Macaca mulatta: one gene and its partners. The protein of the gene in region 1 interacts with the protein of each later gene in a pairwise test. Links are inferred from orthologs where the notes say so. Each region holds a gene or a part of one and is shown on either strand. Other genes may lie near its edges.

Evidence for each region.
Region 2: the proteins of DVL2 (region 1) and ELOA2 interact in a two-hybrid assay, tested with the Homo sapiens proteins (2 studies listed by BioGRID and IntAct). The two-hybrid records come from large-scale screens. The link is inferred for Macaca mulatta from reciprocal best matches to the Homo sapiens genes DVL2 and ELOA2.
Region 3: the proteins of DVL2 (region 1) and THAP1 interact in a two-hybrid assay, tested with the Homo sapiens proteins (2 studies listed by BioGRID and IntAct). The two-hybrid records come from large-scale screens. The link is inferred for Macaca mulatta from reciprocal best matches to the Homo sapiens genes DVL2 and THAP1.
Region 4: the proteins of DVL2 (region 1) and SNIP1 interact in a two-hybrid assay, tested with the Homo sapiens proteins (2 studies listed by BioGRID and IntAct). The two-hybrid records come from large-scale screens. The link is inferred for Macaca mulatta from reciprocal best matches to the Homo sapiens genes DVL2 and SNIP1.
Region 5: the proteins of DVL2 (region 1) and AP2M1 interact in a two-hybrid assay, tested with the Homo sapiens proteins (2 studies listed by BioGRID and IntAct). The two-hybrid records come from large-scale screens. The link is inferred for Macaca mulatta from reciprocal best matches to the Homo sapiens genes DVL2 and AP2M1.

The regions. Positions count from the first base shown.
Region 1 is NC_133421.1:8,710,368-8,716,228, forward strand, and holds the end of DVL2 (segment polarity protein dishevelled homolog DVL-2), read right to left. Parts: coding exon 5,822-5,861; intron 5,692-5,821; coding exon 5,601-5,691; intron 5,458-5,600; coding exon 5,388-5,457; intron 5,229-5,387; coding exon 5,089-5,228; intron 5,001-5,088; coding exon 4,924-5,000; intron 4,012-4,923; coding exon 3,944-4,011; intron 3,750-3,943; coding exon 3,621-3,749; coding exon of another isoform or gene 3,603-3,620; intron 3,541-3,602; coding exon of another isoform or gene 3,502-3,540; coding exon 3,370-3,501; intron 3,236-3,369; coding exon 3,056-3,235; intron 2,925-3,055; coding exon of another isoform or gene 2,859-2,924; intron 2,614-2,858; coding exon 2,395-2,613; coding exon of another isoform or gene 2,374-2,394; intron 2,311-2,373; coding exon of another isoform or gene 2,288-2,310; coding exon 1,839-2,287; 3' UTR 1,317-1,838; downstream 1-1,316. Other genes in the region: ACADVL (very long-chain specific acyl-CoA dehydrogenase, mitochondrial), read left to right, coding at 1-58, 134-231, 309-381, 468-540, 624-696, 791-866, 938-1,078.
Region 2 is NC_133423.1:45,343,588-45,349,980, reverse strand, and holds ELOA2 (elongin-A2), read right to left. Parts: upstream 3,924-6,393; coding exon 1,656-3,923; downstream 1-1,655. UniProt on the Homo sapiens protein: SIII, also known as elongin, is a general transcription elongation factor that increases the RNA polymerase II transcription elongation past template-encoded arresting sites.
Region 3 is NC_133413.1:44,940,880-44,947,512, forward strand, and holds the start of THAP1 (THAP domain-containing protein 1), read right to left. Parts: upstream 3,634-6,633; 5' UTR 3,414-3,633; coding exon 3,343-3,413; intron 3,217-3,342; exon of another isoform or gene 3,063-3,216; coding exon of another isoform or gene 3,013-3,062; intron 1-3,012. UniProt on the Homo sapiens protein: DNA-binding transcription regulator that regulates endothelial cell proliferation and G1/S cell-cycle progression.
Region 4 is NC_133406.1:203,253,173-203,259,132, reverse strand, and holds part of SNIP1 (smad nuclear-interacting protein 1), read right to left. Parts: intron 5,857-5,960; exon of another isoform or gene 4,718-5,856; intron 1,178-4,717; coding exon 579-1,177; intron 1-578. UniProt on the Homo sapiens protein: Required for pre-mRNA splicing as component of the spliceosome. As a component of the minor spliceosome, involved in the splicing of U12-type introns in pre-mRNAs. Down-regulates NF-kappa-B signaling by competing with RELA for CREBBP/EP300 binding.
Region 5 is NC_133407.1:96,316,071-96,321,901, reverse strand, and holds the end of AP2M1 (AP-2 complex subunit mu), read right to left. Parts: intron 5,453-5,831; coding exon of another isoform or gene 5,447-5,452; intron 5,249-5,446; coding exon 5,113-5,248; intron 5,013-5,112; coding exon 4,871-5,012; coding exon of another isoform or gene 4,862-4,870; intron 4,398-4,861; coding exon 4,278-4,397; intron 4,182-4,277; coding exon 4,046-4,181; intron 3,943-4,045; coding exon 3,845-3,942; intron 3,377-3,844; coding exon 3,265-3,376; intron 2,655-3,264; coding exon 2,520-2,654; 3' UTR 2,046-2,519; downstream 1-2,045.

The DNA of each region.
Region 1 (5,861 bases):
AATCTTTGAGGGGACAAATGACATCCTTCGGCTGTTTGTGGCTCTGCAGGGCTGTATGGTAAGAGGGAGAATTGGGTGGGGGTAGAGGTGGGGAGGACAGTGAGTCCTGACTGCTGGACCCTCTTCCCCATAGGACAAAGGAAAGGAGCTCTCTGGGCTTGGCAGTGCTCTAAAGAATCCCTTTGGGAATGCTGGCCTCCTGCTGGGAGAGGCAGGCAAACAGCTAAGGCGGTAGGCTTAGGGTCAGGGCCAGGGGAGGGCAGGGCAGTGTATGACAACTAACCAGTCATTCTCCCTCTTCCTCTCAGGCGGGCAGGGCTGGGCAGCGGCCTGAGTCTCAGTGGAATTGTCCACCCGGAGTTGAGTCGCAGCGGTGAGCTGGTAAGTGGCCAGGGGTCCAGGAGAGCCTGCGTCAGGGACTGTAGCCGACAGCCCCTCTGAGCCCTGCACTGTCCCCATCTCTTCAGGCAGTACAGGCTCTGGAGCAGTTTGCCACTGTGGTGGAGGCCAAGTTGATAAAACACAAGAAGGGGATTGTCAGTGAGTGAGCTCTACACCCTTCCGCCCCTCCCTTTCCTCTCCTTGAGACTAATGCCCCCACCCCCACCCCACCTACCCGGCAGATGAGCAGTTTCTGCTGCAGCGGCTGGCAGACGGGGCCATCGACCTCTATGCCATGGTGGTGGTTCTCTCGAGGTGAGGAGGCAGGCGGGGAATGCCTGAGCCGCAGGGGGCCTGGGCCTGGATCCCAGCCGGCCCAGATTTATTTTCATCTCCTGCTTCCTGCCAGGGCTTCAAGATCCCTGAGTGAGGGCCACCACACGGCCCAGCATGAGAAAATGCTCTGTGACACCTGGTGTATCGAGGTGAGACTCGGGGCTGCTAAGCTCAGGTGAGGGCTAGAGGTGCAGGCCCAACCCTCCTTCCCTCTCCCCAGGCTGCAGCCCGGATCCGAGAGGGCATGGCCGCCCTGCAGTCTGACCCCCGGCAGCATGAGCTCTACCGCAACTTCAAAAGCATCTCCAAGGCCTTGGTGGAGCGGGGTGGTGTGGTCACCAGCAACCCACTTGGCTTCTGAATACTCCTGGCCAGGGCCTGGCCCGGTTATGTGCCTTTCCTCAAGCCAAAGCCCCTCTCCTTAGGGCCCTGGTTTGTCCCGGAGGGGGCCTAGTATTCCCAGGACTGTGCCTGCTCTCAAGAGCACTTACTGCCTCGAAAATAATAAAAATTTCTAACCAGTCATGCTTTGCTCCTGTGTGTCCGTTCTTTCCCTCTGCTGCCTGCCTCCCTCCCAAAGAAAGGAGCCAGAGGCGTGGGGAGTTTGCCTCTATTGCTTTATTTGGTGTTTTATACAAGTGACTAAAATAAATAGAGTAACAAAGGCAGCTACATGGCCCAAATCTCCCAGCTTCCTCAGGCTGCTGTCTAGGGTGCCTAACCCCAGGGTACCACTGACCACCCCCAAACCTGCACAGGGCAAGGCTATGGGTAACTGGAGGAGGAGGTCACATTCTGGGGTTAGAAGGGGCCCAACGGACGGGATTTTTCATATAAAAGAGAAAATGCCTATTTAAAAAGTCCCAAAAATGTAAGAAACTCTATTTTAACCCCCAAAAAGACTTATTAAAAAAACAAAGCTAAAAATAATCAAAGGTCCCTTGTCTACCCGAGGGAAGGGGGAGGAACCAGGCACTGCTGGTGAGAGTCACAGTGGCCACAATCTCCTGTATGGCAGCAGCTGCTAGGCTGAGCCCAGGCACTGTAAGAGCAAGCACATGATGGCCAGGACAGCCAGTCACACACCAGGAGCGCCAGGCCAAGCCTGGCCCCACAGTGGGCTACATAACATCCACAAAGAACTCGCTGGGATTGCCCATGGCCATGTGGAAGCTTTGGCGGCTGGCTGTCAGTTCTGGCGGCACAGAGCCCAGGTCTCTGACTGGAGGGGCCCCCGGAGGCTGCACTGCTGGAGGGACTGGAGGTGGGGGTGGGGGCATCATGACCACCATCATGGGGTTGTAGGGGAGGGCCATGCCAGGGGGTGGTCCATAAGGATGGAGCCCCGAGTGGGCTCGGAGATTAGGGGCACCCCCAGCTGAGCCTCTGGATGGAGGAGGGCCCCCATCGCCAGTCCCACTTGGTTCCCCACCCCGCCGAAGGCTGCCCCCTCGGCTGGAGGGCTCGGACTCACTGCCACTGCCGGACTTGGACTCGGGGGCCCGCTCCTCGGGCCTCCCTGTGCGCCCTGCCCCCCCATCACTCCGGGTCGACCCACTGCTCCGGCTGCCTGTGGAGGGAGGGGAGGGGCAACTAAGTCCTCACCCAGGCTCCTCCCTGGCTGCCCTCTGATCCACCCTCAGACCCTGGCCGTACAGGTATGTGGGGATGACTTACCCTCACTGTGCTGGCTGCTGGCACTGCCCCCACCAAAGGTATAAGATGAAAGTTCATGGTACGGTGGGGGCTGCGGGCTGTAGGGGTGTGGGGCCGGGTATTGGTAGGAGAAAGTGGGCAGCAAGGGCCAGGGGGTGGCCCCAGGCAGAGGAGCCAGGGTGTCCTGGTCCGAAGCCCCACTGGAGCCATCGTTGTCATTGAGAGACAGGTTGACTAGGTCTGGAAAACAAGGGAAGTGAGGAAGAAATCACTGCTTCAAGAGGCTAAGGCCCCAAGACACGGAATGGAGAGCCCAGACCCACCCACGATGGGGCTCAAAACAGGGGTTCACAGGGGACTCTTGACAGGAAACTCCCATCTACTTCTGCCATGAGGGCAGGGGCACAGCCAGGGCCACCACTAGCCCATGTCTTTGTGGGACTCAGGAGGATGTGCACCTTCCCCCGGTGGACACAGTCCTGCACCTGGCGCGTGGCTTGTCCAGCAGCGCATGGATGGATGCCAGCCACGATCCTCGGCCAATGCAGGACCTAGTGCGGGACACACGCTGCTCGACCATCCATCGTGGCCCTGGCTGCAGTTTCTGGGCTAGGTCTAGGGTTGGAGAGGCAGAACAAGGCAGGCAAAGCCACACTCCCAGAGTTGGGGCAGAGGGACTCACAGCTCTCACAGCCACCACTGAGGTCTCCGAAGACGTAATAGCACTGTTCAGAGAAGGTGATCTTGTTGACGGTGTGTCGGATCAGGCCCGCTTTGAGCAGCCCACTGGCATACTTGCGGGCCTCCCGCCGCTCAGGAAAGCCCTCCACGTGATGGTAGAGCCAGTCAACCACATCCGAGCCTGGGAGCATCCACAGTGGAAAAAGGCCTCAGGTTCTCCTTCCAACTCCTGCTCTCGCCTCTGCCTGTGCCACTCCCGGCTTTGGCTGCCTCCTCCTCCCTTTCTCCAGCCACCTGCCCAGGACCCAGCCGTACCCAGAAAGGCATTAGGGATGGTGATCTTGAGCCACATGCGGTCCCGGACTTCCAGTCCAGACTCTGGAGCTGCCATGGCCTTGGTCACCGATGCCATGTCCGTATGGATGGAGAGACCCCGGCCCTCACAGCCTGGCAGAGGAGACCACAGGGAATGAGAGTCAGGGATCACTCCCACAAAGGCAATGGGTCAGACCACTGCAGGACAGCCTTCTGCTGGGAGGGTGGGATGCGGTGGGCTGGTGGCTCACCATCAGGCAAAGAGGATCCAGATGTAATGGTGCTCATGGAGGAGGAGCCCGGATAGGCTGGGAAGGTGCCAGTCAGAGCCGCAGAGTGGGACACCCAGGCAGCAGGGTCAATTGGCTGGATGGGCTCATCTGGGACAAAGATGGCACCAAAATGACCCATTCTCAGTCCCCAAAAGCCAGCCCAGTCCCTCCCTGACTCAGCCTCCTGTTCCACCTCTGCCTGGACCCTCCTCCCACCCACTCCCCATGACCAGAGGTCCAGCCCCAGCCTCCTGGCCAGCCCCCACCCCCAACTTCAGGCCCCCTCCCTGAGTGTCACTCACTTCTCGGGAGAGTGAAATAGGCCTGAGGAGAGGGATCCCAGCACTTGGCCACAGTCAGCACAATGGGGCTACGGGGAAGAGAAGTCCAGTCAAGGGCGCAGGGGAAGAGGAGGCCTCAGGAGAGTGGGGGCCTGAAGCAAGGATGGATTAAGAGACACAAAGAGAAGGAGAAGCAAGCACATCGCGGCTGGGCTGGAGAAGGTGAGGGTGGAAGGCACCACAATGCGGATGACTCATCAACATGGAAAACTCTTAAAAACATACTGCCAAATGAGACAAGAGAGTACACGCTGTACAATTCCATTCACAGAAAGACCAAAAACAGGTAAAATGAAACCGTGCTGTTCAAGGATACATGCAAGAATGGTAACTATCGAGTGAGGCAAAGCTCTCCTCTGTTATGGTGATAGCCAAAGAAGTCAGGAGAGTGACCACCCCTGGGGGAGGGAGGCATTTGGGAGCAGGAAGGGACATCTGGGGAGGAAGTTCTAGAATATCAGCAATCTCCTATTTGATGGTCTAAGTGGCAGTGACATGGATATTCACTCTAGTATTGATACGTCACACATTTGTTTCACGTACTTTGAATGTTATGTCTCAGCACTTTTTTTTTTTTTTTGAGATGGGAGTCTCGCTCTGTCGCCCAGGTTGGAGTGCAGCGGTGTGATCTCGGTTCACTGCAACCTCCGCCCCCTGGGGTTCAAGTGATTCTCCTGTCTCAGCCTCCTCACTAGCTGGGACTACAGGCGTGCGCCACCACACCCACTTAATTTTTGTATTTTTAGTAGAGACAGGGTTTCACCATGTTGGTCAGGCTGGTCTCGAACTCCTGACCTCTGGTGATCCACCCATCTCGGACTCCCAAAGTTCTGGGATTACAGGCATGAGCCACCACGCCTTACTACTTATTAAAATTGCAAAACAAAACATAAAAGAGAAAAAAAGAGAACTGAGGACCTGCAACCTGCTTGGCAACTTACCCAGGCTTGTGCACAATGTCCCTCAGCACCCGCACGGCGTCATCATTGCTCATGTTCTCAAAGTTCATGTCATTCACCTGGAAGCAGGGGAAGTGGGTCAGAGGCATGGTGGGAGAGGCTGAGGGCTCCCGTGCAGGGCAGCTCGGTGGCCACACCCCAGCACACCTGCAAAAGCATGTCCCCTGGCTCAATGCGTCCGTCGGCCGCCACAGCCCCACCCTTCATGATGGAGCCAATGTAGATGCCTCCGTCTCCCCGCTCATTGCTTTGGCCCACAATGGAGATACCCAGGAAGTTGTACTTCTCTGTGGAGAGAGGCCATGTGAGGAGAGGAGGCCCCCGCGGCAGGACCCCCAGAACCCTAGAGAGAGAGGCCATGTGAGGAGAGGAGCCCCAGCCGCAGGACCCTTGGAACCCTAGAGACCAGGCCCTCCCCACGCCCTAGCCACAGGCTCTCCCCATACCCATGTTTAGCGTGACTGTGATGATATTGAGAGACATGGTGGAATCTGTGACGCTGCTGAAGGACGATGTCTGTGGTGGGAAAAGAAGGAGCTAGAGTGCCCTTCAATGACCCAGGGTCAACCCTGGGGTGCTGCCAGTGTCCAGGCACCACCCAAACCAAAGCCTATGCCCCACCTTCTCCCAGCACCAGCCTTCCCGTGGGAACCCCTCACCCTCTCCAGGCGGGGTGGCCGCTGCTTCCTCCGCCGTCGGTGGCGCTTAAGGAGGCGGGAGGCACTGCTCTGCTCCGTGGAGCTGCTGAACCTGCCAGGAGGTTGGAAGGAGAGCAAACGTAGGCCAAAGTGGTCATGGGGCCAAGAGAAAGAACCAGAGGATTGACTGGAGGAGAAGAAAGGGGGCTGGGCGCGCTGGGGAGAGCTGTGCGGAGCCACACCTGCTCATGGTGTCCTCCTCGTCGGAGTCCCCCAGGCTGG
Region 2 (6,393 bases), on another chromosome or scaffold:
ACTTTTTAAATTCTCACATGACTTTTCTCTCTCTCTCTGTGTGTGTGTGTGTGTGTGTGTGTGTGTGTGTGTGTGTGTGTGTTTGTGAGTGTGTGTGTGTGTGTGTGTGTGTGTCTTCTAAGAAGGAAAATGATTATAGCCTGAGAATCGGGGGATGAGGATTCAGGTGTTAAGGCTTTTTTGAGAATTACCCCTCCTCGGTGTGTGGCCAAATATGTAAATGTGCTGTGTTTCCAGTCTTCCAGCTCCCTCACGAAGAGGACCCTAGTGCAATACTGGCAAAGCTGCCAATGTCCTAGAATGATGATTATTTTAGTAGAGATGAGATTTTTTCATATTGGTCGTCGTGGTCTTGAACTCCTGACCTCATGTGATCCACCAGCCTCAACCTCCCAAAGTGCTGGGATAGAGGTGTGAAGCTCCCCACCCGGCCTTCTTTGAGTTTTGTATGGTGACTGATAGGATCAACTCCCTTTCCCTAGAACGAATGCTTCCCTGTCTTCCTTAAATGCAGTTTACTTGTTTCTCTGTTTCCTGGCTTTTTATCTGTGTGTGTGTGTCATAGCTGGCACACATTCTTTTGATTATCAGCCTGCGTGAGGCCAACAAATGCCCTCTGTTAAAATGTAAAGGTTCAATATAGCTTGCAGAAGCCCCTGTGATCTGAACTGCAGGTTGTTAACCTGGTCATCTCATGGTAATCAGAAAGTCTTATTGGCAGCTTTAGACTTTTTGATTCAGAATCTAAATAAACTGATTACGGTGTTTCCATTCCTTCATAGGGCTTATGGGTGAAAAGATTGTGAATTATTCTATGTGTTACTTCAGGAAACTATTTTTGCTTGACAAATTTACCAGTGATTACCATTCATTTATGAAATCTGATAGTTCCTGTTTCTAAGTAATAGCAGTTTTATTTGAGCCATGCTCTGGTTCGGTCTCCCAGTCTGGAGTGCAGTGGAATGATGAAAGGTCACTGCAACCTCTGCTTGCCCAGCTCAGGCGATCCTGCCACCTCAGCCCTTTAAGAAGCTGGGTCCACAGGGGTGTGCCACAATGCCAGGCTAATTTTGATATCTTTTTCAGAGGTGGGGTTTCCCTGTTTTGCCCAGGCTGGTCTTCACCTACTAGGATCAAGCGATTTGCTTTCTTTGGCCTCCCAAAGGAGGATGGGTCATGAATACAGGATCATGCCCAGCGTTTTATTAAAACAACAACAACAACGACAATAAAGAGTTTATGTATTTGGAGTTATCAGTGTCACCTAATGGCTTGTGAATTTTTGTCTAATAAGTTCTTATCTACTTGATGATTTCCAAAAAAAGAAAGGAAAAAGGGAATCTCACATCTTTTTCCTTATTTATGATTACAACTAGGGTGTTATTTTAAAAACGATCAGTGAACAACCAAAAGATAATTGTTCCGAATGTGTTCATATCTTCTGAATTCTGAGGTGTCCTCCAGGCTGGGAGGTAGTGGTTGGGTGTGGGAGGTAAAATCACAGGTCCAGCACGTGACACCTACAGAATTCAAAGGCTCAACTTTGCACCAAGCTAAAGGTTCTGGTGTCCATTGGAAGTTTCATTCCCCAACCCGCATTGACTTTGCATTGGTCCTCCTCCCTCCAGATTTTACCTGCAAGGCAAGTCCTGAGTTCATCGTGGGGAGAATCTTTTCTTGTAGTCTCGAATTGCCTTGGCCATCAACGGGGCCACTTTCTTGGCAGCCTGTTTCCGAGTTTTGGCCGCGAGCATCACGCGCTCATTGCTGCTGCTTAGGCAGGGGTTGGCCCTCTTCTCAGGGAGCTGGTGAAGGACATTGCTGCTGCTGCTGTCTCTGCCACCACTGTCACTGCCCCTGCTGGAGGGAACGTGGCTGCTTACCCCAGGCTTTGGGGCTAGCTTGAGCTCTCCATTTTCAGGTTCAGCAGCTCCTGCAGACTTATCTTGCCTCCTTGAAGCATCATAAGGCGTCTTGGCCACAGAGTTGAAATAGATCATCTTTGCCTCTCTGCTGTTGGGGTTGTTTTCACGTGCAGATCGGATATTTGCTGTCAGTACTCGTAGTCGCTGCTCTCGGGTGTCCTGAAGCCGCAGGCACAGCTCCCGCCAAGACTCTTGCTCCTGTGGCTTTCCTTCCTTGAAGTCCTGGAGACAATGAATCCTCCATAATTCATCTGTGTCCCCAGCGAGTGCGTGATTGTATTTCTCTCTGCGATACAGCTGATCAGGTGTCCACCCTTCCAGAACGGGTTCAAGATACCAGTAGGGGATTCCTTCCACATCGCTGAGGGTGTCGGGATTGTTTCTAAGGACCCGGATGCACTGCTGGCGCAGCGTCAGCACCTGGGGTTGACAGGCAGGCCTGGAGCCCGAGTACACCTGCATCTTAGCATTCACTCTGCCTCCAGTGAAAGCAGTTTCCTCCTGGAAGGTTGGTGCAGTGAGTGCTTCTGGCTTTGCCTGGGAGGTCATGGAGTCAGAATCCAATAGCGAATGGTAGTTGGCCTGCATCCAGGCCTCTGAGGGGTCCCAGAGCTCTGAGAAGGCATGGCTGGGCACCGTTTTCAGCCCTGCAGAATCAGCACCGGCTGCCTGCAGCCTCTCTGACTGGCTTTCCTCGAAAGGAAGCAATTTCTTAGCTGAATCCCAGGACACACGAGTGCCCTTTGAATCGTTTGCTTTCCTTTGTTTATCTCCAAGTGCAGTGGTGGAAGACTCCCCAGTCTTTTTCCTTTGCTTCTGCAACTGGTCATAAGTGTGGTATTTTTCAAATGACAGAGTGGGCTGCTCGAATTCCTCAGCCATATCTACCTCCTCCACCTCAGAGAGGGAGCTCATGGACCTTCTGCCCACATGAGCCGTTGGTGGCTTCCCCTCTTGAGTCTTTTGGTCGTTGGAAAGCTGCTCTTTCTCCTCAGAGGACAGGCGGTGTGTCCCATTTCCTGGGTACGGGCCATCTAGACTGGGCATCTTCTTGTTCAAGTGTCTGTGATGAGGCCTATTTGGGTGACCGTCTGGAGCCACCACCAAGGCGGGGACATGCTGGCTGCTGCCAGCTGGTCCCCCTTCCTTGTCCTTCTTGGCGTCACCCGAGGACGGCCTGTCCCTGGCACTTTCCCGGAAGGGCATCCTTGGGGTTTCCTCTCTTAAGCGGGCCCAGGATGATTTCTCCCTGATCAAAGTAGGGGAGTGCCAATCGCCCTGGGCACACAAGGGGCATTTTTCCTGGTGGAACGATTTGTGTCCCTTGCTGTGGCTTACAAGCGCTTCCCCCTGGGGTTGGCCCTGGCAGCCCTGACCCAGCAGAGGCCCGCCCTGAGCGGCGTGAGCGTGGCCTCTTCCGGGTTGCTTCCCGGGCACAGCCGGCTCAGGGCCCTCGGGCGTCGGGAGGGGAGCGGTGTGCAATGGAGGGGCCCGATGGGGGCCTGAATCAGCTGGGGCCCTTCTGCGGCGCTTTCTCTGGGCTCTGTGCTCGCGACTGGGAGACCTTCTGTGAGGTCTCTGGAGTCCCGGAGGTGTTCTGTGTGCTGTCCGTCTGTGCTCAGGACTGTCAGGTGGGCTCCTGGGGACCTTCCCGTTCTCTGGGAAGCCCCAGGCCTTTTCCTGGTCCTGAAGAGCCTCCCCATAGCGCTTTCGGGAAGCGCTCTCCTCGGGGTCCTGTGCATCAGGCCCGGTGTTTGGGTCCACAAGCACCAGCTTCTTCCACCGGGCCGCTAAGTCTCTGGCAAAGTCGCCCACGTGCTGGTGCTTCCGCAGGCGCTTCACCGTCTTTCTGATTCCAGTCTCCGCCAGGATGTCTGCCGTCATGGGCAAGGCGGAGAGTTTCTGCAAATATTTCTCTAGCTTTTTCGGGTCCATCTTAGTGGTCAGATACACCTGCAGCTTCTCCACTGCGTGCAGCGTAATGGATCCTGCTGCCATCTCACCAGAGCTGTGCAGGCGTCACTGTCCTGGAGGTCTCGGCTCTTTCCTCGGGGCGGCGGGACACGAAGCCAGGCAGCGACCTCGGGATGTGGAGTCACAGCCTGGAGCGAGCTCGGTCCTCGAAGCAGCGGACCACTGGTTCCGGGTCGCTGGTCCTTGCAGACCGTAGGCCTCATGACGTGGAGTCACCACAGCCTGGAGCAAGCTCAGTCCTCAGTGCAGCGGGCCACTTGGTCTGGAACGCCGGTCCTTGCAGACCGCTGAGCAAGCCTGCTTCTAGTCCTCGGGATGTGGAGCCATAGCTGGAGTGACCTCTGCGGTTTGCAGTCCTACACGGAATGCAGCTCTGGTGCCAGAGCTGGGCCTTATATGGCCCACGGCAGGCCCACACTCACGGCTCTAGCCCTGACCCTCTTAGCTCCTGGGCTTCCCCGCCCCAATACGTACTCATGCCGTCAGCACAATGCAGACAATCGGGACGGTCCACGCCAGGTGGACTGCTGTGCCCCAGAGGTTGATTAGGTGAATTTCAGCCTCGACACACCCCACTGAGTTCTACCGTTGGCCTACCATTATATCAGTTTCCGTATCTGTGGATTCAAAAAAAAAGCAGACTGAGTCTTCTTGGGAGTAAAACAGAAAATAACACAGCAAGATAAAATCACAGAAAGAAGAACCAATACAGGATAACAACTCTTTACCTAGGACTGATGTTTTGTGAGGGGACTTTCAAACATTTGTCAAAACTGGGATTAAAAGACCAAAATAAAACCGTTTGATTTTATTTCTTAACATCTGCTCCATCAATTTCAAGACAGTTTTCAAGCACTGTCTTGCCCCCACCTTGTCCCTCAAGCCCTGATGGTTCTGGGAACTTAACAATTTCCATGAAATCTTTTTTTCCATTATTAACTGAAGAAAACTGGGTGCCGTTTGCAGAATTTTTAATACTAGGAAAGAAATAGAAGTCAGCAGGTTCCACATCATGACTGTAAGGTGGACGCCTCATGATTTCCCATTGAAACTTTTGCCAAACTGCCCTTTGTTCAGTGAAATGCAACAGCAAGAACTTTTTCATGATTAGGTAGAACTCTCTGATAATGGTTTTTCTGCTCATGCTTTGGCTAATTTTCTCAAAAATTCTGTTAGTAAGCCCATTTAATGATGGTTTGGCCCTTCAAAAAGTCATTTAGTCGTATATTTTGAGCATTCCCCAAAACTGTTACCATGACCTCTTCCCTTGACTGGTCCTCTCTGTCTTTGACTGGAGTGCTGCCACCTTTTGGTAGCCATTGTTTTGTGCTCTTTCTTCAGGATCATCCAGTGTAGCCATGTTTTATCCCCTCTTACAAATCTTGGAATAAATATTTCTGGATCTTCTTCCACCTGTTTTAAAACTTTAAAGAAATTTTTCTCTTGTCTCTAGCTATTATTGTTGAAACAGATTTGGTATCTGGATCGGACTTTCGTTTTTCAGTGACAATTATTAAAACAGGATCATTTGAAATATAGTATCTATGTTTTTTTCTCTTCTGTTGTTACTTATTTGTCCTCTCAAATTAGGGAACACTTGGTCCTATGTTTCTGAGCATAGTTGACCAATTCTGACATTGTATGAAATTCAGCAAATGTCTTTTCTGGATCTGTAGACACTTCTTTTGAGATTTCTAGTATTTTGTTGGATTGTACAGCATTTGAAATTTAGGAAGTTTCCTGGCAGAGCCAGGAGATAATCAGGAAACAAACAAAAAACAAATTAGAACGTACAGGTATATATAGTCAAGCTTTTAGGTGAATATTAGATGCAGAGACTGTAAAAGAGAAGTATAGAAAAAACATTTAAAATAAGAGAATAAGAGATGTGTCCTTTTTAACTGTTTGTTTTTGAGATGGAAAGCTTAATGCAAAATTTGGATCTTATTACTGAAATTGAAATGAGCTCATGCAAATTAATCTCCATAGCACCCGTAAAAAGGAAATTAAAAGCACTAATGTTGCATGTGGTGTATATACAGTAACATTTCCTAAATATCTTCTCAGTCTAAAACTGGGAATGATATTCAATGCTTCCTTTTCCTCAGGCTATGGTATCATAGGATTCAATTTTGAATTTGATAATGGAGGTATATTTGTGGCACAATAGCCCACAAAGGAAATGAAAGAAGAAGAAAACCGCCAGATTATTGAAACATACAAATGAGACACCTAGATTAGATGTTCACTTCTGGGCCTCCTTTCTTTGTACACAGAAATTAATGGGCATGTACTTGTGTCCTTTTCAGGGGCACACCATCTCTTACAGTTTAAATAGAACTTTTTTGGGGGGAGTGGCTCATTCTTAGTTTTTTTTAATTCAGAAGATAATTTTCTATGTTAATTTGAATGGCCTGGGCAGAAAGATGTAGATCTGGCCAACTTTATACCTTTAATTAAGAAATTTGTAAGACTGCATTTTGTGTTTTCAGTA
Region 3 (6,633 bases), on another chromosome or scaffold:
GTGCTGGAATTACAGGCGTGAGCCACTGCGCTGGGCCCTCATTTATTAATGTTTAACTTTTTATAGTGAGTTCACCAAAAGATTCAAGTAAAATACATACTATAGAATAAATGTGCCCGTGGCTCATGTCTGTAATCCCAGCACTTGGGAGGCCAAGGTCCAAGAGACTGCTTAAGTCCAGGAGGTTGAAGACTAGCCTGGGCAACACGGCAAAACCCTGTCTCTACAAAAAATACAAAAATTAGCTGGGTATAGTGGTATGTGCCCAGGTACTTGGGAGGCTGAGGCTGAGGTGGGAGGATTCCTCGAGCCTGGGAGGTCACGGCTGCAGTGAGCTGAGATGGTTCCACTGCACTCCAGTCTGAGTGACAGAGCCATACCCTGTCTCAAAAAGAAAAAAACTGTATTCTATTTTTACCAGTAATTTTCTGTGTGCTGCACAGGAAGACAAACATTGCACATTTGTATCTATGTACTGGGAAAGAGGGGCTTCTAGTTCTCTTAGCATCAGTCTGACAAATACGAACAGGCTAAATTTGAATTAAAGGCAGATAATAATGAAAGAAAAGTATTTATTTTCTAATCAACTGGGATGTCCATTAGGCCCAGGTAAACGGGGATAGTGAGAGTTTAAATTTATTGTGGTTTTACTCTTCCAAATTAAGGATTTGGTAAACTGGGGGGATTAGAAAAAAAAACAAAGGAAGGGGGTTTTGAATTTACGTTTCACAGTTTTCTCTTCCATGTACAATATGCTAGAGCCTGACTCTGCTAGTAAGAGATCTTTATGACAGTCCCTTTTCTTTGTACAACATAGCACTCTCTGCTGCCACTATGCAGACGGTGGGATAAGTGGTACTCCTAGAAAATCTCAGCTGGGGCTGGGCGTGGCCTGTAATCACAACTGTAATCCCAGCACTTTGGGAGGCCGAGACGGGCGGATCACGAGGTCAGGAGATCGAGACCATCCTGGCGAACACGGTGAAACCCCGTCTCTACTAAAAAATACAAAAAACTAGCCGGGCGAGGCGGCGGGCGCCTGTAGTCCCAGCTACTCGGGAGGCTGAGGCAGGAGAATGGCGTAAACCCGGGGGGCGGAGCTTGCAGTGAGCTGAGATCCGGCCACTGCACTCTAGCCCAGGCGACAGAGCCAGACTCCGTCTCAAAAAAAAAAAAAAAAAAAAAAAAATTAGCTGGGCGTGGTGTTGCGCGCCTGTAGTCCCAGCTACTCAGAAGGCTGAGGCGAATCGCTTGAACCGGGGAGGCAGAGGTTGCAGTGAGTCGAGATCGTGCCACTGCACTCCAGCCTGGTGACAGAGCAAGACTCCATCTCAAAAAGAGAAGAAGAAAATCTCAGCTGGAAATGGCCTCTATACGTATAAACTAGGGTGGCATTTGCTGGTAAAATTCCGTACCTATGGCCTCCTGGCTCTGTAAGCATAAACTATGGTAGCATTTGCTGCTAAAATTCAGTCAGTACCTAGGGCCTCCTGGCACAAGGACCACAAATTTACAGCTGTTTGTGAGATTCTGTTAAAATCTTTCCCATCTACTCTCCCTAAACCTGCTCTTTTAGATAAGGGATAAGATGCAGGTTAGCTCTTCTTTTGATTCAATCCGTATGTGTTTAACACCTAGCAGAAACAGTTATTTCTCTCTTTTTTTTTTTTTTTTGACATGGAGTCTGGCTCTGTTACCCAAGCTGGAGTGCAGGGCAAGATCTCAGCTCACTGCAACCTCCATATCCCAGGTTCAAGCGATTCCCCTACCTCAGCCTCCCAGGTAGCTAGGATTACAGGCGTACGCCTGTATTTTGTATTTTTAGTAGAGACGGGATTTTGCCATGTTGGCCAGGCTGGTCTTGAATCCTGACGTCAGGTGATCTGCCCACCTAGGCCTCCCTAAGTGCTGAGAATTACAGGCATGAGCCACTGTGCCTGGCCAAAAACACAGTTATTTCTGACGTGTGAATACCCTCCTTAAACTTGTTTCCAGTGCCAGTGAAACATTTTCCATAATTTTAGATTCCTTCTGCCATGCCATCAGAAATGTGGGTGGGGAGCTGCACATGTAATCCTGTTACCATCACCTGACCTTTTCCTACATTTCGAAAGAACATGTTTACAGAAATTCCAATTAAATTAAGAGACAATATTAGGATATCCTGAACTGAATCCTGTAAGTGTTCTACCCCCTTCGCCAAGGGGTAACATCATTACTCTGGAGACCTATGTTCTACACTCTCTTATTTCTATAGGGTCCATCTCACATGATATCAAACACTTAAAAAATGCATGGACACTCCCCTAGTAAACATAGATGGCTCCACACCAAAATAAAAAAATTGAAAGGATATTTAACATTTTGCTTTTGTAATTACCTAATTATAAAAGATAATTAGCTAATTACCTATGACTAATTTGTATAGTTTACCCCTGGATCTGATTTCTTAGCTATCATCTGCATATAGTTGTCAGGAATTCTTACAAAGAAAACTTAACATAAATGTAATTAAAATTTGTAAACAAATTCAGCTGAATGTTATGTCACATTTTACAAGCGTTTGATTATCATAAGTAATTGCAACTTTGCACTTTTTTTCCTATTTTCAAGAGAATATTTTTGATCCTAGCACTCTTAACTGTGCTACCTATTGGATAAGACAGCTCTGAAAGCTGTGGGGCAGTTTCTTTCGAAAGAGCTTCCTCTATGCACAGGTAATGCCGTAATAAATAAAGATCAGTGTGAGTCATTTTATTATGATCCATGTTGTAACTATCCATATTATCATTATTGTGTGCTGAAAAGATAACGATTTATCTTGGCAGTACCTGAAGCTTTCTTCAAAACTCAGGGTCCTTAAAGCTTAGTTCCTAGAGATTTGGGGCAAAAATTCTCCGGGATTTCCCAGCCAAAAAACCCTTAATTGCTACGATGCTGGCCTCCCATCCACGACAAGGGAAAGGCCTTTGTTTATATTTCAAATTTACCCCTAAGACGTTATTACAACACCTGGCTGCTCGTGACCCTGGTGGCGGCAAAACCCGCGCCACCATAGGCATCGCCCGCGGGCTCCAAACTCGTCAACCGAGGCCTGGAGCGAAGCCTGCAACGAGGACCTGTTCCGAGAGCGCAAGAAACAACCGCCGCGGAGACGCGCGCCGAGAACGCGCGATCGGGCGACGGTTCCCAGCAGGACGCGGCGGGAAACGCCTCGCGCGGCCGGCCCCAGACCCCACCCGCCCCTCGCGCGGACACGCGCCTGGCTCCGCCCCCGGCCCCGCCGGTCGCGCGCCCCCACCCTGGCTAAGACCGGCCCCGCGAGGCGCGCAGGGTCCTCACTTGTGGAAAGAAACGGGCTTGTCCTTGTCGTAGCGGTTCTTGCAGCCGTAGGCGGAGCAGGACTGCACCATCCTTCCGGTCTTCAGGCACTTCACTTCTGCCGCCGCAGAAGGCAGGGGAAGCTGCTTTCAGTGTCGCCGCGCTCGGTTGGACACCCTCGCTCTTTTGTAGCTTTGGCCAACAGTTACAGTAATGGTGGCCTCCCTCTGGGGTGACTAGTGTGCCCGTTTTGTTGTTTGCATTAGCAGAAGGACCACAGCCATCGCCCGTCTCCCATCTCCAAGATGGCGGAGGCAGCTTCAACCTCACCTCTCGCGAGGGGTGCGTCCCACTGTCTCTGATTAGCCCCGAGGTCAGAGGTAACGATTCCTGGGAAGCTAACTATTGGCTGAGGCCAGGTGTTTCCGGCGGTGGCTTCAGAGTTGCGGAAGTGGGCGGAGCCCTGAACTTCCGGTAGGCAGGAAGGAACAGCTTGCGGGGGAGGAGGCGCGGCGGGAGGCTGGATTCCAGGGGCATCATCCAGCCCGGGCTGTTCCCGTGGGTTAATTGATGCGGAGCTTTTCTGGGGCGGCTTACAGTAGGAAACAACTAGGGCCTCATGGAGAACAGGTGTAAAGCCGAGGTCGTTGTCTGATTGCGCCCATTTCTCTAAAAGGGCGGACACAGATGGTGTATGATTAATAAAATTGTGGAACCTTTTCCCAGAATGCTGATCTTTTTCCCATTACCTGTGTCTTCAGGCATCACAAGTCTCTGAGAGCCAACGTGACAGGTTTTTAGCAATGAAAAAAGACACACTCGCCAAATCATCTGAATTGCCAACGCAGAAGCATTATATATATGTATATATGTATGCATATATACGTGTGTGTGTATATATATATATGTAATTTTTTAAAAAAATAGAGGCAGGATCTCCCCACGTTGCCCAGGCCAGTCTAGAACTCGAGCTGAAGGGATCCACCTATCTCGACCTCCCAGTGGGTTGGGATTACGGGAGTTGAGCCACCAGGCCCTCCCTCCCCAGAAGCTTTTGTGAAGGGCTGTCCATTGCTGTGATTTCCATGTGCGGTGTTGCAAATAGGGAGCTGCTGCAGCAGTTTTCACATCTGAGAGAGAATATGTCAGAGGGGTTCGAAATAGAGCGACTCTGTGTTGAGTGAGGGCTAGGAAAATGAGGCTGGGACTTGCTGGGCTGCATTCCCGGAAAGTTAGGTGTTCCTAGCCTCTAGATGTATACCATTAAGGCAACAGATTGATAATGTTTACTAAACAGACCCAGACTTCGAAGTGTCCAGATATCTCGATATTTTGAGAACAGAAGCATTCCTAATTTTGCTTTAAAGATAATAATGGACTGGGCACAGTGCCTCACGCCTGTAATCCGAGCACTTTGGAAGGCTGAGGCGGGCGGATCACTTGAGGTCAGGAGTTTAAGACTAGCCTGGCTAACATGGTGAAACCCGTCTCTACTAAAAATACAAAAATTAACCGGGTGTGGTTGGCACATGCCTCGAATCTCAGCTACTCTGGAGGCTGAGGCAGGAGAATCGCTTGAATCTGGGAAGGCGGAGGTTGCAGTGAGCCGTGCTTGCACCACTGCACTCCAGCCTGGGCGACAAGAGTAAGACTCTGTCTCATAAATAAATAAAGATATCGATTCTTACATAATATAGTAATTAATCCTTTATCACAAACCCTTGTAGCACAGCACATGTCCCCATGATCTTTTTTTATTCTATATATAAACTAAGTGTTGTACTTAGGGTGGATGCGTTCCTTCTCTTTCTTTCGGGAACACCCTACTCTGTCTGTGGAGTAGCTGTACTTTCACCACTTTACATTCTTAATAAACTTGCTTTTGCTGTGCACTGTGGACTCGCCCTGAATTCTGTCTTGCATGAGATCCAAGAACCTTGCCTTGGGGTCTGGATTGGGACCCCTTTCCTGTAACAGTTTTACTTCATTCCCTGCTCCTTTTCTTTATATAGATCTGAGCCAGGCAAACCTGGAGAGCAAAATGTTGAGTAATCCTTTCGCCCTTATTCTCTACCTTTCCTGCCCCTTTAAATGTTGGTGTTTCCCCAGGGTTCCATCTTCTGGCCTCCTGTAACTCCTAAACACCCTGCTCCTTAAACTGAACCAAATACCATAATTCTCTCATGTTTTATTTCCTTTGTATATCCGTTCTGCCTTTGGGATTATCATCTGTGAATTATCTGTTCAACAGTTGCCTAAACCAGAAACCTTGGAGTCATCTTGGATTAGTTTTTGTCACCCATAAAATCCTTTGATGACCAGGTTAATTTTATAGACTAAATAAATAAATGCCTCTTAAATCCATCCCTCTGCATGTCTCCTCACTGTTCTTTTTTTCTTTTTTTTTTCTTTTTGAGAGGGAGTGTCGCTCTGTCGCCCAGGCTGGAGTGAAAAGGCACGATCTCAGTTCACTGTAACCTCTGCCTCCCGGGTTCAAGCAATTCTCCCGCCTCAGCCTCCTGAGTAGCTGGGATCACAGGCACCTGCCAACATGCCCGGCTAATTTTTGTATTTTTATAGAGACGGGGTTTCACCATGTTGGCCAGGCTGGTCTTGAACTCCTGACCTCAGGTGATACGCCTGCCTCGGCCTCCCAAAGTGTTGGGATTAGAGGCGTGAGCCACCGCGCCCAACCCTCACTGTTCTTTAATTATTTTTATTATTATGTTTAATAGAGATGAGGTCTCACTATGTTGCCCAGGCTGGTCTCAAACTCCTGGGTTTAAGCTATCGGTCAGCCAGGGCCTCCCAAAGTCCTGGGACTACAGGTATGAGCCACGGTGCCTTGCTTCCTCACTGTTCTTGACCAAGCTCTCATGGTCTTAACCTTGCAGCAACCTCTTAACTATCCTAGTCTCCAGTTTTACCTCTCTCCATTCTATCTTCCATAGAAGGGTTGTGCATGCCTGCCATGCCCCTGCTCGTATCTTTGCAAGGCTACCTGCTGTACTGAATAAAATCCAAACTTCTTATGGTGAGTTATAAAGCTCTTTAGGACCAGGTACTTCTCTTCCACCATCATCTCCCTCCACTTGTCTTTACCTCTGTTCCAGCTTCATGTCTTAGAGGGCAGGCTCTTTTGTGGTTTCTTTAAATAGGCTGTTTTCTTGACTTGAAATGCCCATCCCTGACCTGTCCACCCTTAAGATGTGGCTTAATGGCCTGGCGCAGTGGTTCACGCCTGTAATCCCAGTACTTTGGGAGGCCGAGGCAGGTGGATCACGTGAGCCCAAGTATTCAAGACCAGCCTGG
Region 4 (5,960 bases), on another chromosome or scaffold:
GCCTGTATTCCTAGCTGCTCGGTAGCCTGAGGCAGGCGAATCGCTTGAACGCAGGAGGCAGAGGTTGCAGTGAGCTGAGATCACGCCACTGCACTCCAGCCTGGGCACAGAAGGAGACTCCGTCTCACAAAAACAAAAAACCAAAAACCGGTCCTATCCTTCTCACAGGATTGTTGTGAGAATCATCACAGATGTCCCACGCAAGCTATCAAGAACCAGTTTCAAAATTAGTAGAGCACAGAGGCACATGCCTATGGTCCCAGTTACTCAGGAGGCCAAGGTGGGAGACAATCATTTGAGCCCAAGAGGTTGCTGGAGTGAGCTGTCTTTGCTCCACTGCACTCTAGACTGGGTGACCGAGTGAGACCTTGTCACAAAAAAACAAAAAATAGATTAAAAGTATAATGTTCTTATAAATATGTAAACAATTATTTAAAGGGAAGTTAGATTAACAATACTCTTTAGATATGAGGGGTATGGGATTCTTCTGTATATGTATGAACAAAAATCTTAGTAATCCTAACTAACTGAGCAATTGTTTCTGCTCACATTAGAGTTTCTTCCTCCATGTTACTTACCGATATTGAAAGACCGCATGCTGCTTTGAACAAGATGGGTGATCGATAGGAATGTCTGCAATGCGGCGGTGTCGACCCAGTAGATACGCACTCTGTCGATGTATGTACATGACTGGAAGCACCTCATCATTTTTAAATGGGTAGAGACGCCACCGTTTTTTTGGAATACGTGCTTCTGGGGGCTCACTATATTTAATGACTACACCCCGGAAAGTGTTGGTGTCCTCAAGAAGTGCCCCAGAAAGTTCATAGCTTGGTTTTTCTTTAGCAGGCACCTCTTTTTCTTTGTTGTTGCCACCAGGCCGAGGAACCAACTCCTGAGACTCACTACCGCCACCACCAATGTCATTCCTCTGGCGATGCTCCCGTCGCCTGGCATTATAAAACTCCCGCTCTTCTTCCTGAGCCTGCAGGTTCTGAGTGTCTCGCTCCCGTCCCTGACCCTGCCCACTCCCAGGTCTCTCGTTAGACGTTCTCCTTTGGTGGGAATGGCCCCGGTGTCTGTACCGGTCACTTTTCCTAGCTCTCCTGTGTTCCTGTTCTGATGGTTCCCTGTGCTGCCGATCCTCCCGTCCTCTCCGGGGATGATCCTCACGCTCCTGAAATTCAAACAGATTCTGTAATTTTAACACAGTGCACAATCTAAAGACAGCCCAAATCTTGTTCTTTTTGAATGAGGTATATTCAAAAGGTCTTTTGTAATTTGGAGTTTGGCATTTAGAACAACATTTCCCACAGAAATAAGATTATGTCTGGTGGTTATGTTCCCTTGCAAGGCCACAAAAATGATATCCCATGCTGCTATTCAACCATAGCCCTAATAGCACAAGCCCAGGTCCAGAGCCCTAAAAACAAGAGACTATTTAGTCCAGAAAGGAGAAAGAAAAATAATTTCCTCCTTTTCACAACAAAGGTAACTATGGGAAAACTTACAGGGAAGAATATACAGAAAATAGAACTAAGAGTTAAGTAGTCAGGTACAAGATATGTAAAGAAAGAAGCTAGCTTTCTCTCATGCCAAAAATGAAAATATAACAGTTTTTAAATCCTACTTCCACAGTTAAAAAAAAATTCAATACCTAGGAATAAACTTAAGAAACATGAAAGACATATAAGAAGAAATCTGTAAAAATTCATTAAAATAGAGGCTTTTTAAAGATCTGAAGAAATGGAGAAACATACCATGATTTCTTGAAAATGACAGCATTGAAAATCAGCCTAGGCCAGGCACGGTGGCTCATGCCTATAATCCCAGCACTTTGGGAGGCCGAGACAGGCGGATCACCTGAGGTCAGGAGTTCCAGATCAGCCTGACCAACATGGTGAAACTCCATCTCTTCTAAAAATACAAAATTAGCCGGCTGTGGTGGCACATGCCTGTAATCCCAGCTACTCAGGAGGCTGAGGCAGGAGAATCGCTCGAACCTGGGAGGCAGAGGTTGCAGTAAGCCGAGATCGCGCCATTGCACTCCAGCCTGGGCAACAAGAGTGAAACTCCTTCTCAAAAAAAAGAAAAGAAGAAAAAAAATCAGCCTGGTAGAAAATGTCTGCAACACAAACCAGACAGTAGTCCTAGGGGGATACATTCTAAGTATGGTGGACGGCTGAAACCACGGATAGTACTGAACCTGACTGCCATCAAACGTAACACATTTCTGTTCACATCTTCCACCCATAAATTTAATGCCTTTTCCATCTTAACTAAGCACTTATGAACTGTGGCTGTAACTTTTACAGTATGAAATACAACAGCAAAACTAGCATGAATTTCTTTTTCCTTCCCCACAATTTCACAATAGAAGATTCATTCTTACTATTGATCTTAGCAACTTCAATATAGGATTTGAAAAGTTTTTTTTAAGTTGAGAACTTTCATCTTTTCGTTTAGGAAGCACTTTACAGCTTCTCTTTAGCCTTCCTAATTGCCAAAATCACTGCTATTGCACTTTGGGGCCACTACTAAATAAAATAAAGGTACTTGAATCCAAGCACTGCAAACTGCAACAGTTATCTGATAACCAGGATGACAACTAAGTGACGGACAGGCAGGTAGCGCATACAGCACAGATACACCAGACAAAGGAAGGATTCATGTTCCTGGTGGGACAGCACAAGTTTACACCAAATGACTCAGGATAGTGACCAATTTAAACTTTATGAGTTGTTTTTTTCTGGAGTTTTCCATTTAATATTTTCAGATGTAGAAAGTGAAACCACAGATAAGGGGGGACTACTGTATATTACTATATCAATAAGAAACAATTCAACAGAGAAACTGACAAATGGCCAGGTGCCAGTGGCTCACACTTGTAATCCCAGCACTTTGGGAGGCCAAGGCAATGGATCGCTTGAGCCCAGGAGTTTGAGACTAGCCTGGGCAACATGGTGAAACCCCGTCTCTACTAAAAATACACAAATCAGCTGGGCACAGTGGTGCATGCCTGTAGTTCCAGTTCCTCAGAAGGCTAAGGTGGGAGGATTGCTTGAACCTAGGAGGCAGAGGTTGCAGTGAGCTGAGATTCCACCACTGTACTCCAGCCTGGATGACAGAGCAAGACTCTGTCTCAAAAATAAAAAAGGAAAGAAAAATGAACAATTTTCAGAAGAAATAAATGTCCAAGGGCCGAGCACAGTGGGTGACGCCTGTAATCCCAGCACTTTGGGAAGCCACGGCAGGAGAATTGCTTAAGCTCAGGAGTTTAGACCAGCCTGAGCAACACGGCAAAACCCCACTTCTACAAAAAATACAAAAATCAGCCAGGCATGACAGCATGCACCTGTAATCTAAAATTACAGCTATTCTAGAATTTGAGGTGGGAGGATCACTTGAGCCCAGGAGGTCGAGGCTGAAGTGAGCTATGATCATACCACTGCAGTCCAGCCTGGGCTACAGAGACCCTGTCTCAAAAAAAAAAAAAAAAAAAAAGAAAAAAGAAATACATGTCCAATAAATGCATGAAGATATGCTTAACCTAATAACCAATGCATCAAATTCTAAAAGAAACATGAATTTTCTCTCCTTGAATTAGTAAAATTAAAAAGATCAATAATATCTACAGTCAAAAAGGAAGGCACAGGAAAATGGGTATTTTCAGTCACTGCTGGTACAGGTATAAACTAGCATAGCCTATTTAGGTCAATTTGACAGTATTTAATCAAAATCTCATCAACCACTAATGCCACTTATAGAAATCAATCCTACAGAAATACTAGCAGAAACGCACAAACACATACATATCAATGTGTTTACTGTAATTTCATAATAAAAAAACTGGAAACAACTTAATGTCCTGCAACGGTAGAATGGTTAAATTATTATCTATTCATACAAAGGAATACTTCCCAGCCATGAAAAAGAAAGAGATCATGACATAGAAAGATATCTAATATATTGTTAAATGAGAGAGGAAAAAAGAGAAGGGGCAAGTTTCACAATAAGACCAGATATTTCTATATATAGACTTGGCAGATGAAATACTTGGAGAGATGTTCCCACTATAATTTAACTAGATACTTATTAAATTTTTAATGTATTGTTGGGCTGTCAATAAGCAAGGCAAAATCTCCAATGAGAAAAAAATCTCCAAAGTGGGGTAAGAAAAAAAAACAGATTTGAGCTCTAAGCATGGGCTCAAATACTAAAGAATACTAGACACACACAAGGAAATGGAAACAAGCCACTGAGCATGAGAGGCAGCAGAAACAAGTCTTATAGGGTGGGCATGGTGGCTCACGCCTGTAATCCCAGCACTTTGGGAGAGCAAGGGGGGCAGATCACTTGAGGTCGGTCAGGAGTTCGAGCCCAGCCTGGCCAACATTGTGAAACCCCGTCTCTACTAAAAATACAAAAATTAGCCAGGTGTGGTAGTGCATGCCTGTAATCCCAGCTACTTGGGAGGCTGAGGCAGGAGAATCGCTTGAACCCAGGAAGTGAAGGTTGCAGTGAGCAGAGATGGCGCCACTGCATTGTAGCCTGAACGACAAAGCAAGACTCCATCTCAAAAAAAAAAAAAAAAAAAAAAGAAACAAGAGGCCGGGCAAAGTGGCTCACGCCTGTAATCCCAGCATTTTGGGAGGCCGAGGCGGGTGGATCATGAGGTCAGGAGTTCAAGACCAGCCTGGCCAAGATGGTGAAATCCCGTCTCTACTAAAAATACAAAAAATTAACCAGGCGCGGTGGCGGGCGCCTGTAATCCCAGCTACTTGGGAGGCTGAGGCAGGAGAATCGCTTGAACTCGGAGGGCAGAGGTTGCAGTGAGCCGAGACTGTGCCATGGACTCCAGCCTGGATGACAGAGACTCCATCTCAAAAAAAAAAAGAAACAAGTCTTATAGATGTAGATCCCCAAGGACTTCATTCATGTACAAAATTTTATTATTTTTTTTTTATTTTAAAAAGAAAAAATGAGACATTCTTTGCGGAGAGTCGCCGGGGTTTCCTGGTTCAACAGTGCTTGGACGGAACCGGGCTCTTGTCCCCCACCCCGGCTGGCCGCCCATAGCTAGCCCTCTGTCACCTCCTCACTGGGCCCTCTGACGGTCCCAAGGCCCCCGTCGCCAGTCCAGCGCCATGCAGTCACTGCCACGCAGCCACTGCCACCACGACTGCGTCCCCCTCGCAGGTGAGCCAGAACTACCACCATCAACCGCCAGATCAACCTGGAGTTCTACGCCTCCTACATCTACCTGTCATGTCTTACTACTTTGACCATGATGATGTGGCTTTGAAGAATTTTGCCAAGTACTTTCTTCACCAGTCTCATGAGGAGATGGAACATGCCGAGAAACTAATGAAGATGCAGAGCCAAAGAGATGGCCAAATCTTCCTTCAGGATATCAAGAAACCAGACCATGATGACTGGGAGAGCGGGCTGAATGCAATGGGGTGTGCATTACATTTGGAAAAACATGGGAATCAGTCACTACTGGAACTGCACAAACTGGCCACCAACAAAATGACCTCCATTTGTGTGACTTCACTGAGACACATTACCTGAATGAGCAGGTAAAATCCATCAAAGAATTGGGTGACCACGTGACCAACTTGCGCAAGATGGGGGCACCCAAATCTGGCTTGGCAGAATATCTCTTTGACAAGTACACCCCGGGAGACAGTGATAATGAAAGCTAAGCCTTAGGCTAATTTCCCCATAGCCATGGGGTGACTTCCTGGTCACCAAGGCAGTGCATGCATGTTGGGGTCTCCTTTGCCTTTTCTATAAATTGTACCAAAACACCCACTTAAGTTATTTGATTTGTACCATTCCTTCAAATAAATACATTTGGTATCTCCCACCAAAAAAATAAAAAAAAAACTTATTGCTATGGACTAGGTAACATACAAAAATGTTTGCAGATAATTAAGGTTAAAAATTTTAAAAGA
Region 5 (5,831 bases), on another chromosome or scaffold:
TTGCAAGGCGCATGCGTAGCGGCGACGCAAGAAAGGAGCGGAGTGCGCGAAGCCCGGTGGGCGGGGCGAGCGGGGCCTTGAGGAGAGGCGCCGAGTCTGCGCCGGAGCAGCTCTCTCTGCGCGTGCGCGACACCTTTTCCGCTGAAAGATTACCCCCCTGTGCGGTTCTTGCTGCCTTCTGGGAGGTGGAGTTCCCGGAGCGAGCGGTGGGGTGGAGCTCAAGTTTTATCAGGGCCGCGAGGCACCGGTGGTCTGGCGGATGGGAGCCTCCCAAGAGGCAAGCGGCTGATAAAGTATTTTGGCTTTGCCAGGTTTTATGCGCTCCCTCGAGGCGCGTCTGCTGCTGCTGCTGCTGCTGCTGCTGCGCACCCAGCCAGGTCCATTTTGGAGCCCGCCCAGAGCTTTGCTGACTCACCCCGGTCCCTCTCAGAAGCCCCCTGCTCAGTGCTTTGCTTTCGCGGGTCCTCAGACCCTACGGCTCGTCAGCCTGGTTGCCAGCGCCACCCGCCTCCCCGCCGCGACTTGCCTCTTCACACTGTATAATTCAGCCGACCTTTGTGAATTAAGCCAATTCAGTTCTTCCACCACTCCAGGGCACGACCAAATCCACCGCCAAAGGGCAAGAAAACCAGGACAATGTGGCCTGTATAAATTATTCCCTACATACACCCAAAGCAGACTTCTCCGCACTCAGTAAATGCCAGTAAAAGGCTATTTCCTTTCACCGATTCCCTCAGGAAGTTAGGAATTTCCTCCAAAATGACGCTACTGCTTTACATTTAAATCGTAAATATTCCTCCGATGGTTCTCTAAAAGTGGCACCGAAAACTATATTACCCATTCACCCCTTTGGATTAAACACTGCCATCATGAGGAGTCAATCCGGATACTGAATCATTTTACAGGAAATACAGGTAAAGAGGAATATGTTAAGTGACTTCTTGGGGACAACAGGCAAACTACAGAACTCTGGTTTCTTCGACAAAATTGCAAGACCTGAAGGGAAACATCGATTTTTAAAATTTGAGAAGCATTAGCCAACCACAATGAACCTTGTCTGGAAAAATTTGGTAAGACACCTGGTTAGTGAACACAGATTGGATGTGATATTAAGGAACAGGTCACACATTGATCATAGTTGAAGTTCGGTGATGAGACATGGAGATGCATTTATATATATATATATATATATTTTTTTTTTTTTATTTGAGACAGAGTTTCACTCTTGTTGCCCAGGCTGGAATGCAATGGCGCGATCTTGGCTCACTGCAACCTCCACCTCCTGGGTTCAAGCCATTCTCCTGCCTCAGCCTCCCGAACAGCTGGGATTACAGACATGCACCACCATGCCCAACTCATTTTGTAATTTTAGTACAGACAGGGTTTCTCCATGTTGGTCAGGCTGGTCTTGAATTCCTGACCTCAGGTGATCCACCCACCTCGGCTACCAAAGCGCTGGGGTTACAGTGTGAGCCACCGCACCCAGTCCATTGTATTATTCTGCTTGCAAATCTTTCCTCCTACCACCCACTCAGCAAGATTTGGGAAGCATGGGTAAATGATGGAATTAAAAGGTCAATTTCTTAGGATGGCTATAAGACCAAACGTAAACTTCACTTAATCTATACCTAATCTAATTAGAAAACATCTGCCTAAGAATTAGAGAAAGAGCTGGGTGCTGTGGTGGCGCGTGCTTGTAATCCCAGCTACTCCAGAGGCTGAGGCAGCCTCTGGATCCTAGGCTAAAGATCTCTTGAGCCTAGGAGTCCGAGGACCAGGGGGAATAAAAAAGAGCTAGGGAAAGATCTACCCCCAGGGTACTGGGGCCTGCTGAGGCTGCTTGCCCTTGAGGCTTTCTTAGAGGAGCCAGAAAACCTGGGCCCAAAACCCACAAGGATAGGGGCTTGGATGGCCCAGGAGACGCCTAACTGGGACAAGACAAGGAAAGAGCTTTTAGAGTATTCAGAACAGAAAACTGCGGGGAGAGCAACACCAGTTCCCTCCCCACGTAGCTCCCACATCAACACTTAGCCAGCAACTCCACTCTACAGAGTTTATTGGGTTTATAACTGGACGAAGTCACACGTGTACAAAATGAAGCTCACACTATCCCAAAGCAGACTAGGGACTGAGGGCTGGGGATCCGTTACTGGCCTTTGGGAGAGCTCTGAGGTGAGGGGTGCAACCGACCCTCCCACTCCAGAGGTGCGGCCACAGGCGTGGGAAGGAAAGGGAACCCACCTGGCTTTGGTCACAGAACTCAGAGCCTGGCACTAGGCCAGGACAGACAGGTGGAGGGGAGAGCAGGAGCCTCAGAACTTCCCTGTCCAGGGAGCCCAGGGGCTACTCCACCAGTCCCACTTGCAATGTGCTTGGCCCAGACCTAGACTCAGGGGCTGGTGCAAAGGGAAGGCAGCAAAGCAGGAGGGAGGAGACACTGATGTGTGGTGGGAGAGGGAGCGGCACCTGGACCTGTTGAAGAGGGTGGGTGGGGAGGTGGGCTAGCTGCCTAGTGGCAGCTAGCAGCGAGTTTCATAAATGCCGCTGCGGCCAATGTAGCGCACCCATTTGATGACATCATGGTCGCTGTAGTTCAGCTTCGGTTCAAATACCTTCAAGTAGCGCACCTTGAGGCCAGAGGGCGCAAATGGCACCTGGGCAAGGACAGCTCGTTAGAAATGTGGCCTTCCTCTTACAGCTGCTCTCCTCTGGGAAGTCCCGTTGCCCTGCTCTACTTCATCTCTACTACAGGTGTTTGAATGGCTGGGGTCCTTAAAGAAGCTGGGGTGGTGAGGGACCCTCTAAGAGGTGGCTGAAGAAGAAAGCCCTGCCAGTGACACCCGGAATCAGTTCCTTTCATCAGCAGGAGACAGCAACCAATGAACTGCTTTAGAACATACTTATCCTGCTCAATATTATGAACTTAAAAATAAGGTGGAGAAAATTATGTCTAACATGCACAAAGCAAAGTCAGTCCATTATCCTGTCTGTAAGTAAACTTTGTGTCTTACCTGGCATTTAAACAATCTAAGTTTTTCGAAAGAACTGTGTTAGGACAAGCTAAGAGAAGTGAAAGATTTGCCTCACTATGAATAGTAACTTCTACTAAGAGGCTTGAAAGGGGAAGAATGGATCTATGAATTAAAGCCAGTTCTTTCTAGGCCTCAGTTTCCTCACCTCTAAGGTGCAGCGGTTTATCGGAATGATCTCTAAGAGCTTTTCCAGCATACCCTGGCATGACTTTAGGCCCCTCCTCTGCCATACCTCAAAGTTCATGGAAATGGGGGGTCGAGCCCATTTCTTCTTGTCGTTGGTAGGCAGAAGCTCAATCTCTGCGCTGATCTGCGATTCCTTCATGCCTGCCATGCGCTTGATCCTAGGAACACAGGGACAACAGGCAGCCCATTGTAGCTTGGAGAAGTTTCAAGGGCAGTTGCCCATTTTAAGGAGCACGCCCAGGAGCTTGCAGGAGGTGCCACAAGAAGTGGTCAGGACCCTGCTAACTACTTGCTATGGAAGCTTGGGTCTACTTCTTTAGGACAACAGGATGCAGTTTCTGCCTAGACACTTGGGCATGCTATCTTTGCTTTGTCAGCTTCACAGATACATTACAAAGGCAAGCAGGGAAATGCCAAAGCATCTTAAAAAATAAGCACGTGCATGAACCCAAATGCAGGCGTGTACATACTCACATGGAGGCATAAAGGCTGACAGTACAAGCAGAGGCTCCTAGAAAAGCAAAGAGGCACACTCCCCCACCCCTCATTCAGAAGGATCAAAGGTGAAAACAAGAGGGTACACTGGGATCTTGAACCTGCTGTGGCCTAATGAAGGAAAGACTCACTTCCACACGATGGCATTCTCGCTGGCCTTGTACTTGGCCTTCCCCTTCATGCAGATCACCTGCACCCCACTTGTGTTCAGTGGGGTTGGGATCCTCACCTAGAAGTGACACACCTGTCAGGGAGCTCTGTCAAGCTGTGACATCAGCTGCCTTTATTCCTAGGGACAAGTTCTTCCTCCTCCCCAAGCCCCCTGTCCTCACCTCAATCTTCTGAGCCAGGAGTGAGGGTTTAAAGTTGGACTTGATGACCACCTTGACCTCCAGTTTGGTGCGTCCCACTTCTCGCACTAGCGGGATCACCCGGAAGGGAAGGATGATGTCCTTGGTTGTGCGATACCTTAAGGGATGGGAAGCAAGGTTACCAAAGAGCTGACCCACTTCCTCTCCCCAATCTGCCAGCAGCACTGGCTGCCTCCTCACACCCCAATGGCACCTCATAAGCTCAAACTCTCCATCTGGTGGGATAAAGCTGATGCTGCGTTCAGAGTCAAACTTGCTGAGTCGTACACACTGGTGGAAGGTGCAGTCATCAATGGCAATTGATTGCTTCCCACTGCAAGCAGGGGCAGAAGAGGAGGTCTCATTGGTACAGGAGAATGACAGGTGTCACGCTGGGAGACCACTCCACCCCAGGCTGGCACCAGAGACTATGAAAAGCTGCTAGAATGCAGCTTTCTGACTCAGAGGTCTGCCCCAGAGCTTGGGATGAGAGGGAAACCTTGTAAACTCATCTCTTGGGGGCCCTGCTGCTTGGGACCTGGGTGTTTCAGGCACACTGGGCAGAGGAGGCTATCAGTATGTACAGAAGAGGCCTTGGTCCTAGGGACCAAAAAAAGGGGCTTGCTCTGAGGACAGTCCCCTCATCTCTCTTAGCACCAATGTCAAGAGCGAACAGCCAGGCTTACCGTCAGGAACAGAGTTTGCAATTACAGTGGGAATGAAATCCAGAAGAAACTTGTGGTTCACTAGACCCCACCGAGCCCTCCAAGAGACACCCTTTCCCACCAGCTCTCCTGCCTCAGGCACCTCTTGCTTGTTTCATCAGCTGTGCCTTTGCCCTGCTTTTCAATAACAATCTTGTCATTCATCCCAAACTTGCATTCAGGCATGCCACTCAGGTAGCTCTTCATCACCACCCGGCCCGACACATGGGCACTCAGCACCTGCCCTGATGATGGAACAGATAAATGGGGAGCAGCAGAGTCAGGCAGGCAGACCCAGGATCCTGCCCTGGTCCCCCTCCAGCTTTGTTGTGAGAGGGACCTCACCTTGTGGGGACATGAGCAGGTTCACACTCTCCAGCACATCCAGGAAGAGCTCATTCCGGCGATACTTGATACCCTCTCGCCGCCAGCCAATCTGCCCAGTCACCTGGCTGGTGATCTGTGACTGCTCTTCTTTTGTCTACATGGGAGCAGAAACAAACAGCAAGAGCCTCACTCCCCTCTCCCTTTAATCATCCTGTCTCTATCCCCACTCCACCCTCATTCCCCATCCCTTCTAGTCCCCACCTGTAATCCATTTTCCCCTATAAGCCCCAAAGGGCAGGGCCTGGAGAAACAAAGCAAAGCTGCAAGGGCGGAAGCTAAGGGAAGGGCTTACCTGATGCTGGAGGCCGCAGGGCCAACGAGGTGCCCACATGAAGTAGCAAGGGAGGCAGAAAAGGAGGAGAAAGCTATGAGGCTTGGATCCTATAGGAGAGGGCCCAAGCTCTCTCCTCCTGAGGAACACCAGGCCTCAAGACCAGGCCTCCTCCCCCAACCCTCAGTGCAAAAGGAAACTGCTTGAGCTGTATTCCTGGTAACAGAGATGCTTAATTGGCTGCTCCTGCAGTGGGAGGACCACATAGAGCAAAATAGGCCTGCAATCATGGCAGGAGGCTCAGGCCAGCACTTCCTGTTATGGGAGGGCTTATGAGTCAGCTCAGACAAGGCTCAGGGGCCAGCTGAGATGAAGGGAGATTGGCCTGCACCCTGACTATAGTCTG